3 linked regions of the Arabidopsis thaliana genome follow. The protein of the gene in region 3 interacts with the protein of the main gene of each other region in a pairwise test. Each region holds a gene or a part of one and is shown on either strand. Other genes may lie near its edges. The genes, in order: NAC041, AGL36 and AGL98.

Evidence for each region.
Region 1: the proteins of AGL98 (region 3) and NAC041 interact in a two-hybrid assay, tested with the Arabidopsis thaliana proteins (one large-scale study listed by BioGRID).
Region 2: the proteins of AGL98 (region 3) and AGL36 interact in a two-hybrid assay, tested with the Arabidopsis thaliana proteins (one large-scale study listed by BioGRID).

Annotation. Positions count from the first base shown.
Region 1 is NC_003071.7:14,179,292-14,183,052, forward strand, and holds NAC041 (NAC domain containing protein 41), read left to right. Parts: upstream 1-1,686; 5' UTR 1,687-1,983; coding exon 1,984-2,167; exon of another isoform or gene 2,168-2,231; coding exon of another isoform or gene 2,232-2,244; coding exon 2,245-2,498; intron 2,499-2,587; coding exon 2,588-2,956; 3' UTR 2,957-3,148; downstream 3,149-3,761. UniProt on the Arabidopsis thaliana protein: Transcription activator of the mannan synthase CSLA9. Recognizes and binds to DNA-specific sequence of CSLA9 promoter.
Region 2 is NC_003076.8:9,341,752-9,345,512, forward strand, and holds AGL36 (AGAMOUS-like 36), read left to right. Parts: upstream 1-2,033; coding exon 2,034-3,134; 3' UTR 3,135-3,260; downstream 3,261-3,761. UniProt on the Arabidopsis thaliana protein: Probable transcription factor.
Region 3 is NC_003076.8:15,936,651-15,940,011, forward strand, and holds AGL98 (AGAMOUS-like 98), read right to left. Parts: upstream 1,809-3,361; 5' UTR 1,695-1,808; coding exon 1,335-1,694; intron 1,258-1,334; coding exon 628-1,257; downstream 1-627. Other genes in the region: AT5G39800 (Mitochondrial ribosomal protein L27), read left to right, coding at 218-286; NAC094 (NAC domain containing protein 94), read right to left, coding at 2,650-3,123, 3,213-3,361.

The sequences.
Region 1 (3,761 bases), on a different chromosome or scaffold from region 3:
TTATTTGGACAAGAGACATGACCTTTACCTTCTCCTCACGCAACCGGCATTTGTTGAAGTCTCCCATTGTCCCTCCTTTGGGCCCTACCTTTAATGCCAAACTAACCCATTGTATTTGGTATTCTACATAAAAGTTGTACACTAATGTACGATACGATTCAACTACATTAACCGTATGTTAAATTATATAGTATTCACTTGTTGATAAATAAATTATGTTTGAACACAACAAAACTTAGTTTCTATATCCGCTGCTGTTTTGTTATAGTCGTCATTCGTACGAGTAATTCTTTATGTTCCGCACTAATCACGCTTCTTTTGTACCACTTAGTATGTGATTTTCTCATTCGTGGTCTTTGAATTGTATTAGAGGCAATTTAGTCTTTTGTGAGATTAGGAGGTGTGTACGGAAAAGTGTGTGAGACAAATGAAGTTAATGTGGAGGAGATCTATAGTGGGACAAAGCAATTGAAAGTCGCTTTAGAAGCAACTAAATGCCCTCTTGACTTCTCCATTCTCCTTGCGATTTACGCATTTACCTAATTGCATCTTTTACTTGTTTAGCTTGTTAAGTTCTTCTACAACATTACCACTTTTGCTCTCTTAAGTTATTGCAACTTGACAATTTGTTATACCCTTTATCAAAAAAAATACCTGGCAACTTGTTTGAGCTCCTGAATTAATCACATCTCTTAAAAGACGTTTTGCGAGTATAACATGAGCTTTTCTTTTTATAGATTCATTCACCAATCAAATATAAAAACTATAACACAATTAAAATGCCATGTAGCTAGGTATATTAGCAAGTCGTAGAACAGAAATGGAAAGACTTGATGAAAGCACGTCAATTCAATTTCATCTCCTATAAATAAATTGTTGTAGGAAGCCAACCGTTTTGGAATTTCTTTTCTTTCGTTTTACGTAAGACTATATAGATTCAATAACGTGTTGGTTTAGAAACCCATACTTATAATGGTTGACAAAAAGAAGAAAGAAAAAAATATAAACATATACGCTAAAAGTGTTTACCAAATAACAGGGTTATGTAATTTATTATCTGGATTAGGAAAAGATGATTGGACCATGCGATGGAGTAGAGGAATCTGCAGGGCATTTGTCACTTTCATGGACCCCATGAAATCACATCTCTTTTAATTGAATAATCGAAATCCAGTTGCATACGCATCTTTGTCTACGATTGGTCGTAGCACATATACGACATATGCCATAACTACAAACTAACTTAATCTTCTAATAATATTGTTAACGATCGTTAATACTAAAAATTACTAATATATTAGTCGTGTTATCTATGTGTTATGAGGTGTGTTAATTGTTGATGCATAATGAATGAACATGATCTCTAATTTGTTTACCTCACACTATGTGATTCAAGGGTGGAAGTCGTTGGTTAGCAAACATTAGTGTCTCAGGACAAGATAGCTCAGGACAAGATGTCCGAGCGGTTCAGAATCAGTAATGTTTTTTTCCGGAGACTCTACTCGTTGAGTTTTTGCTTGTACTCCCTGGTGTTTGTGTTGTGATGTAGTTTTGTTGTTTTACTTAGTTTTTGATCTTTTATGTAATTTGTATTTCGCTGTAACTTCGGTAAAAAACTTGTGAAAATAGTATAAGTACTTAACATTGATACAAAAAAAAAAAAAAAAAAAAAACTCATGAGGTCTTGTTATATATATGGTGATCACATCTTTAAAGAAAATGTTATAGTATTTGTTTTAGTTTAAACAATTTTTTATGTGCCAAAAACATTATTAAAAAGAGAGCAATACCCTACTCTAAAATAGTAAAGCTACCAAATTCAATTCATTACGACATGGCTCAAAAGAAAAAGTATTTCGAATATTATACGATATCAACCCCATTATCATTGCTATAAAATAAGCCAAACTTTACCTCTCCATTTTCAATAATCTCTCATCTTCTTTCGTCTCTCTTTCTACGGTTCAAACATTAAAAAGATAGATGGAGAAGAGGAGCTCTATTAAAAACAGAGGAGTACTTAGATTACCACCAGGGTTCCGATTTCACCCGACCGATGAAGAGCTAGTGGTTCAATATTTACGTCGAAAAGTAACCGGTTTACCCTTACCAGCTTCTGTAATACCGGAAACCGATGTTTGTAAATCCGATCCATGGGATTTACCAGGTACAGAAATTGAAAAATCTACTCTAGGGTTTCATTCAAATTCAATATTTGATGGTGTATATGCATGATGATCACAGGTGATTGTGAATCAGAGATGTATTTTTTTAGCACGAGGGAAGCTAAATACCCGAACGGAAACCGGTCGAACCGGTCTACCGGTTCGGGTTATTGGAAAGCGACTGGTCTCGATAAGCAGATCGGTAAGAAGAAGCTTGTCGTGGGGATGAAGAAAACTCTTGTTTTCTACAAAGGTAAACCACCAAACGGAACAAGAACTAACTGGGTTCTTCATGAATATCGTCTTGTTGATTCACAACAAGATTCATTATATGTAAGAGAATCAAATTCAAATAAATTAGATTCATCAATCAGTTGGATAAAAACTTGGCTAAAAAGTGTATTTTAATGTGTTTTTAAAAGGGACAGAACATGAATTGGGTTTTGTGTAGAGTGTTCTTGAAGAAGAGAAGCAATAGTAATAGTAAGAGGAAAGAAGATGAGAAAGAAGAGGTGGAGAATGAGAAAGAGACAGAGACAGAGAGAGAACGTGAGGAGGAGAACAAGAAGAGTACTTGTCCCATATTTTATGACTTTATGAGAAAAGACACGAAGAAAAAGAGAAGGAGAAGAAGATGCTGTGATTTGAATTTGACTCCTGCTACTTGTTGTTGTTGCTCTTCTTCGACTTCTTCGTCGTCTGTTTGCTCAAGTGCTTTAACTCACACATCTTCTAATGATAATCGTCAAGAAATCAGTTATCGGGAAAATAAGTTTTGTTTGTTTCTATAGATTAACAAACTTGGGAACAACTTCTATTAACTTTAATAAATTAGATTATGATTGTTTCCAAAGTTAATTATGCAATCCAGGAGTCTTTCTTGGTTTTGGTAATTAATAGCCATATTTTATAGCTTATCTAATTGTATCAAATATTGAAAACTGGTTGATCAAATATCTAATTTGTTAATGAGTGTCAATTAACAACAAGGACCAACCATCTAGCTAACAATTCAAGCAATCAAATCAGAGACTAACACTACATTAAAGATCACTCTTACAAAAAAAAAATGTGGAACATTTTTTTATAGAAAAAATCATATACCCAAACAACACAAATTCATTTATTTTGATATCTGAAAAAGCATTATATGTTAAAAATAGAAAATGCATAATGATTATTTCTTTCAATTGTTGGGTTGTTTCTAAGTTTTTGGACAACACTTTTTTACCCATACTGTAAAAGATCACAACATTGATAAGAAAACTCTCATGTCTGGTTGAAATAAATTAGTAAAAGGTTAGAATAAATTGGTTTAAAGGTAAATTAATATTTTAGTTTTGGCACAAATTAACAAATCAATTAATTTTTGTTTATTTTTAACTAAAACATCATTGATTATCTATCTATATCCGATTCAACCAATATAAAATAATTTATCAAATATAAATCACCCAAAATCAATAATAAACTAGATAATTTTGCAATGGAAGTCGAAAACATCATCTCATTTAAAATTCCAAAAAATCAAATAAAGGAATATTAATATAACATAGACAATTTAGTATGATTTTGGTTTTAGTTAAACATATCTTT
Region 2 (3,761 bases), 6.6 Mb from region 3:
TATAATATCCACATGATTTTATAAATTATAATTTTACAAATAAAAAAAAAGACAAAAATCATATTTATGTATTAAACTCTTGATTTTACCCAAATTATGCATATATTTTCTAAATAAAAATAATTTTCATAAATAATTTTTTATATGTCATTATTAATAAATAAATACATGTAGTCATATTAATGTATTAAACTCTTGATTTTACCCTTATATGTAGTCCATTTTTAAAAATACTCTTTCTCTTGAGCAAAACAAACAAATTACCCACATCTAATGAGAAACATGTAATTTATGAACTGAAATTTTCCCGCCGAATTTATTTTTTCCCTGACAAAAAAAAATTCTACCAAAATATTTTTTTTTCCGCCAAATTTTTTTCCCGCCATTTTTTTTTCTCTGTAACAAATGTTTTTCCAGCTAAAAACATGCATTTAAAAATCTTTGTAAAGGTTTTTAAAAGCTTTGTAAATTTGTTAAAAACCCTTGTAAATCATTTTAAAACCTATTAAAATCTTTATAAAAATTTTAAATATATATGTAAATACTTTAAAAACCCGTTTTAAAACCTTTTGTTTTACATTTTAAAACCTTTTACAATAATTTTAAAAGATTTACAAGAGTGTTTAAAAGATTTACAAGGATTTTAAAAACATTTGTAAATGTTGTAAAAATCCTTGTTAAATCCTTTAAAACCCTTGAAAACTATTTAAAAACCATATAAAAATCTTTTAAAAACCCTTAATAATTTTTGAACCATTTTAAACTCTTATGAACCCCTTACAAAATGTTTTAAAAACCCTTGTAAACCATTAAAAATCTTTTAAAATCTCATGTAAACCCTTTAATAATTTTTGAACCATTTTAAAGTTCTAGAAAATTATTTTAAAAATCTTTGTTAATCTTTAAAAACACATGTAAATCTTTTAAAACCCTTTTCAAATCTTTTAAAATCACTTGTAAATCTTTTAAAACCCTATAAAAATCTTTTAAAATCCTTTGTAAATCTTTTTAAAACCTTTTACACTTTATAAAAATCTCTTAAAATCCCTTATAAATATTTTAAAACCCTTTTACACATTTTAAAAATCTATTAAAATCCATTGTAAATCTATTTCCTGCGAAATTTGTTTTTTGCGGGAAAAATCTTTTTTAAAACAAATATTATGGCAGAAAATGTTTTTTTGAAATTTTTTGGCGGAAAATTTTTTTCAGAATATTATAGGCGGGAAAAATCAATATTTCATTTTTTTACCTAAAACATATTTTAAATAGGGGTAAATAGTCATTAAAAATTAAAAAAGGGTATAAATGAAAATAACAAATAAGAAAGGGCAATACTGAAAAGGGATTGTGTTGAAAGGGCATTCATACCAATTATTCAAAGTTTTTGGCGTTTCTGTGAGATGTACTTTGCATATTTTCCAAGTTGTTTGCCCATTCTAAAAATTTATTTGTATGATTCAGAGTACATCTTTAAATTACTGTAGATAACAAACTTTCTGAAATTTACTTTAGATAACAAACTTTAGAGTAATTTCTAGCTTACCACAATTCTATATACATTGACAATATATTACTGTATTTTAAAAGTACAATCACTTAAAACTATTGCAAAACTTCATATTTTAAGAACAAAGTAAGCTAGAAATTATTCTTAGTAAAAAGAAACAATGAGAGTAAGAGAAATTAATTCGCCAAAATAAAAACAAAACTTAGAAATACAAAATATTATATTACATGCCCCCTCGTATTACATGGATAGATTTTTTTCTTTTTTTTGTCATCAGATATTATTTAGGATCAGACGTACCAAACTTTGGATAAGAAAAAATATTTTTATATAGATAATAATGAATTACCTGGTCAATTAATTGATAAGAGATTTCCTGGATGTTATTTAGAATTAATTAGTCCACCAAAGTGATAAGAATCCTAGTGTCTATAGAATCACCTTTCTTTGCTATATAAACATCCTTTGAGCAAACAAATTAAACAAACCACACAAAACAAAAAAAAAAAACAAATTGATGGGGATGAAGAAGGTGAAGCTATCTTTGATAGCTAATGAAAGATCAAGGAAAACATCCTTCATAAAGAGGAAAGACGGGATTTTTAAGAAACTCCACGAGTTGTCAACTCTGTGTGGTGTCCAAGCTTGTGCTCTCATCTACAGTCCATTCATACCGGTTCCAGAGTCATGGCCGTCAAGGGAAGGTGCTAAAAAGGTGGCTTCAAGGTTTCTGGAGATGCCGCCGACAGCCCGAACCAAGAAGATGATGGATCAAGAGACTTACCTTATGGAGAGGATTACCAAAGCAAAAGAGCAACTAAAGAACCTGGCTGCTGAGAACCGAGAGTTACAGGTTAGACGATTTATGTTTGATTGTGTTGAAGGCAAAATGTCCCAGTATCATTATGATGCAAAAGACCTTCAAGATTTGCAATCTTGTATAAATCTATATCTCGATCAGCTTAACGGAAGGATCGAGTCCATTAAAGAAAATGGTGAGTCGTTGTTGTCTTCCGTCTCTCCTTTTCCTACTAGAATTGGTGTTGACGAAATTGGTGATGAGTCATTTTCCGACTCTCCTATTCATGCTACAACTGGGGTTGTAGATACTCTTAATGCTACCAATCCTCATGTTCTTACGGGCGATATGACTCCTTTTCTTGATGCGGACGCAACTGCGGTAACTGCTTCCAGTAGATTTTTTGATCATATTCCATATGAAAATATGAATATGAGTCAAAATCTGCATGAACCGTTTCAACACCTTGTTCCTACTAACGTTTGTGATTTTTTTCAAAATCAGAATATGAATCAGGTTCAATACCAGGCTCCTAATAATCTGTTTAATCAGATTCAACGAGAATTCTACAACATAAATTTGAATCTGAATTTGAATCTGAATTCGAATCAGTATCTGAATCAACAACAATCATTCATGAATCCGATGGTGGAACAACATATGAATCATGTTGGAGGGCGTGAAAGCATTCCTTTCGTGGACGGAAACTGCTACAACTACCATCAACTACCATCCAATCAACTACCAGCCGTTGATCATGCTTCCACCAGTTACATGCCTTCCACCACCGGTGTCTATGATCCTTACATCAACAATAATCTCTAATCACAAAAGAGGGAGAAGAACTAGTCTAAGTGTTCAATTGTTTGTATTTGTGTTTTCTTCATTTCGAAAGACAAAAACTAATGTTGTTTATTAATAATGGTTAAAGGATCTCTTTTTAACTTAATTATGTATTTTGATTATTAAGTAATGTTTTGCCCCCAAAAAAAGATTATTAAGTAATGTATTTGCTCACCGTAGTGTGGGAAACTTTAATTGTAGAATTTTATTTCGAAAATTTAAGATGTGACTGGTACAATATTTAGACGGAAATTTTCAATTGAATTCTTTTAGGACCCATACATAGAGAATAATTGTTTTCCCCAGCAATTTAAAGTAAGAACTATTATTCTTTGAATCAATTATCGATTTGCCATTTTTTGGGATGGTATCTGTGGATTTTGTCCTTTTCTGAATAGTTTGTAGATTTTGCCTTTTTCACACTACGAAAATATGATTTAACATGTGTTTTATTCGTTATGTTTTGGTTTAGTCGGTTGTGCTTGTTCTTAGGATTTAATATTTTGTATAAACTACGTATTTTTACCAAAAAAATCGGAAATACATACTTTTTTTAGTGTTAGAAAATGGCATATCCATAAGATTTTAGTAAAAATTACAATTTCAAAA
Region 3 (3,361 bases):
TCTTAATTGAAACTTGAGAACCAAACATTAGTGAGAAATCTTCTTACAAGTCTTGTTGGTAGAATCTCCTTAGGTTCATCCTGATAATTATCTTGGTTTGTTCTTGTTGTAAGGTTTTTGAGTTAGGGACCTGAAATGGGAATGCTTACTTAATTACATTAACCTTTGTTGTGTGATTTAGCTGCTCTGCTGATGTATATCTATTTGGATTTTACAGCTGAAACCATATGTATCTCAATGCCCGATACAAGTCAACACAAACGAGTCAACTGAAGCTTCCAAGTGAAAAATAGTCAGTCAGAAGATATATATGTTTTTAAGTCTTCTTCATAAAGCTTTAAGTTATGATTATGTTCTTCTATTGTCCGTAATCCTTATGTGCTATTCTTAAAATGGGAGATTTGGTTTGATATTTTCACGAAACGATATGCAAAGTAATTGGTAACATGTTTATGCAGTGGAATATATATTCACTTGATAAATTGGATGTTCACATAGTAAAATAGCTTGATACAAGAAAACATTATGCGTTATGCAATACTTAGCAAAATAAACATCAACAACATATTAAAATTCTTACGAGAAGATGAAAAAACAGTCTCACACTCTCTTGAATGAGCTTTGTTATCAGAGAAACATCGAGTTGTCGATAAGAAGGTTGTTGTTGGTAATATCACTCGTAAACAGGTTCTGATCATAACCACAAGGAACATGCGGCATCAACCCATAGTTGTTGTTCACAGATTCTTGTACCGCAGGAGCAGAGTGATCTTGTGTGTTTGAGACAAAAGAATGTTGGAAGTTGTTGTTGTTCATAAACATGTTCTGATCATAATTACAAAGCTCCTGTTGCATCAAGCCAGATTCTTCTTGTAGTAAGGCTGAGAACTCTTGATTGAAATTTGATGCAGAGAGTGGGATTTGAGAGAGCGTAGCATCTCCATTGTTACTCATGCACATGTTCTGCTCATAACCACAAACCTCCTGCTTCATTATCTGACTCTTCAACTCAGATTGTTCAAGTAACGCTGAGAAATAATCCTGATTGAAATTTGATGCAGAGACTGGGATCTGAGACAGAATATTATCTCCATGGTTATACATAAACAGCGAAAACTGGCTAGGGTTCAAAGATTGGGTCTGATTATTCAGAGAGGATGATGCTAAACTCTGATGATCCGGTTTTGTCTCCTTATGTTTCTGCGACTCAACAAAACGAATCCTTTCTCGGACTTTAGAGACATGAGGTTCTAAGGACTGAATCAGTTGAGAAATTTGGTCAGGAGAGTAATGATCAGCAATTGGATACTTTAAAACATTCACGTTCTTCAGACAAGTCTTTTCAAGTCGTTGTCCTTTATCTTTGCTTTCTTCTCCAAGTTCGTCTTGTTCTTCTTCTTGTTCAGGAAGTCATAAAGAGTAACGCTCTTCTTGCGTCTCAAGGCTTCGTTTAGTTGACTATACCTGAGAGCAATGTCTTCCACTTTCTCTCGCTCCGGAGGCCATGTCTTGAGTTCTCCGTCTGGTCCGTAATAGATGACGCATGCTTCGATATCACAGAGAGTGCAAAGCTCTGAAGCTTTCCTGAAGATGGTCTCAAGTCTATTGCTCAAACTTGTTGAAGCGAGTGAATAAGAAGAAGACGAAGAGGAATTGGAACAGCCTGAGGAAGAAGGTAAAGATCGAATGGCCATCTTCTTGTTGATTTCGAAGACAATCTCTCTATTTTTTGTTTCACGTTCAAAGTGAAGAGAAAGCACGAAGACGAATGAAATTGAGAGAGTGAAACTACGAATTAGGTTTAGGAAACCCTAAGAAGATGATGAAGAATATGAAAGTCAGAGACAACTTTGTGAAATAGCGATATACTTATAGAAAATTTGGTCCTTAAAGTTAGATTTTTTATTTTTTTTTCACTCTTCTAATCGGTAAAACAAAGCTTGTGAAGATTTGATTTCCATATCTTTTGCATAGATTTGTGTAATTTAGCCGTTAAGGACTGATAAAAAGGAAATAGTTTTTTTTTTCTACTCTCACTCTCTTTTAATTAATAAGATCTATAAAAAAGAAAGATTTGCTTGTCCATATATATTTCAGATACCCTTTGTATCATTATGTAAATAGCTCTTAATTAATAATATAATTATTGGATTTGCTAAAAATTTGTGACAATACAATCTAACAAAAATCGACCAAAATACATCCATTTTAAATAAAATTTAGAACCCTCCATTAAAAAATGAGAAATATAATTTATAACTCCGTGTACCTTTTTAATCCATTACTTTGCCATTATTGACATAAATAAAAGATTTTGCAAATTCATATTTTCTTTACTTATTTTCAAAAAAAAAAAAGAAAGCATTGTATCCTCTTCATAAAGAATATGAAATATGGCTCTGAAAAATCCAAAAAAACTAGTGTCATTCAAGAATGAGACTTAATGATTAATATAAAAAGCCATTACAATTATCTATACCAAATTAAGGAGAAGTTGCATGTTCGAAGCAAGTCTTTGTTTTTTTCTTTTTCTTTTCGGCCTTCAAGAAACCAAAAGAGAAGCAACGTTTATAGTAAGACAAGAAAAATTAATACATATTAGCGATGATCAACGTCTACACTAATTCAAGTGTTAATAGTACTATGATCTTAATTGTTAGTGGAATACGACGTCGCCGACATCTCACTCCCCGTAGTCTCCTCCATCACCATTGATCTTACATTCGGAACCTCATGAGTCAACCCTCCAGTCAAGTTGTTGAAGTAGTTATTCTCATTGTTGCTCAGAACCAGAGCATCCCCTGTTCCATTGTTTCTCAGAAACAGAGCATCCCCTGTTCCGTTGTTTCTGGCTGTATTGTACGTGACTCCGAGCATCTGAGACGCGAAGTAAGAAGCAGCTGATTCTGTGAAGCTTGCGGGTTCGTTGACTGGAGAAGGAATAAAGTTTTGTCTTGTTGATATGTGGCTGAGAACGTCTGATGAAGCTAAGAGAGTTGCGGTGTTGTTGTGTGACTGTTGATTGTTGTCAGGAATCGTTGGATAAACCCAAGATTGTGGGATTGATCTTTGTGAGGATACTGCATTTGTCTTCTTAAATATTCTACATATCGCCCAAGCATCCTACAAAATGAAAAAGATCGATTCTAATTTGTTTGGTAACCTAACCTTTGTTGCGGGTAAAGCAAGTTAGGGCAAATCCGATAACTTACGTTTGAAGGAAGCTCCTTGCTGTTGTTGTTATTGTTAAGGTGTTGCTTCTTGTTATTGTAATTGGGATATGATGAGTGATGAGAGTCAGAGAGAGAAGGGAGACGAAATTCATGCATCATCCAATCGGTTTTGACTCCTTTAGCAGCTC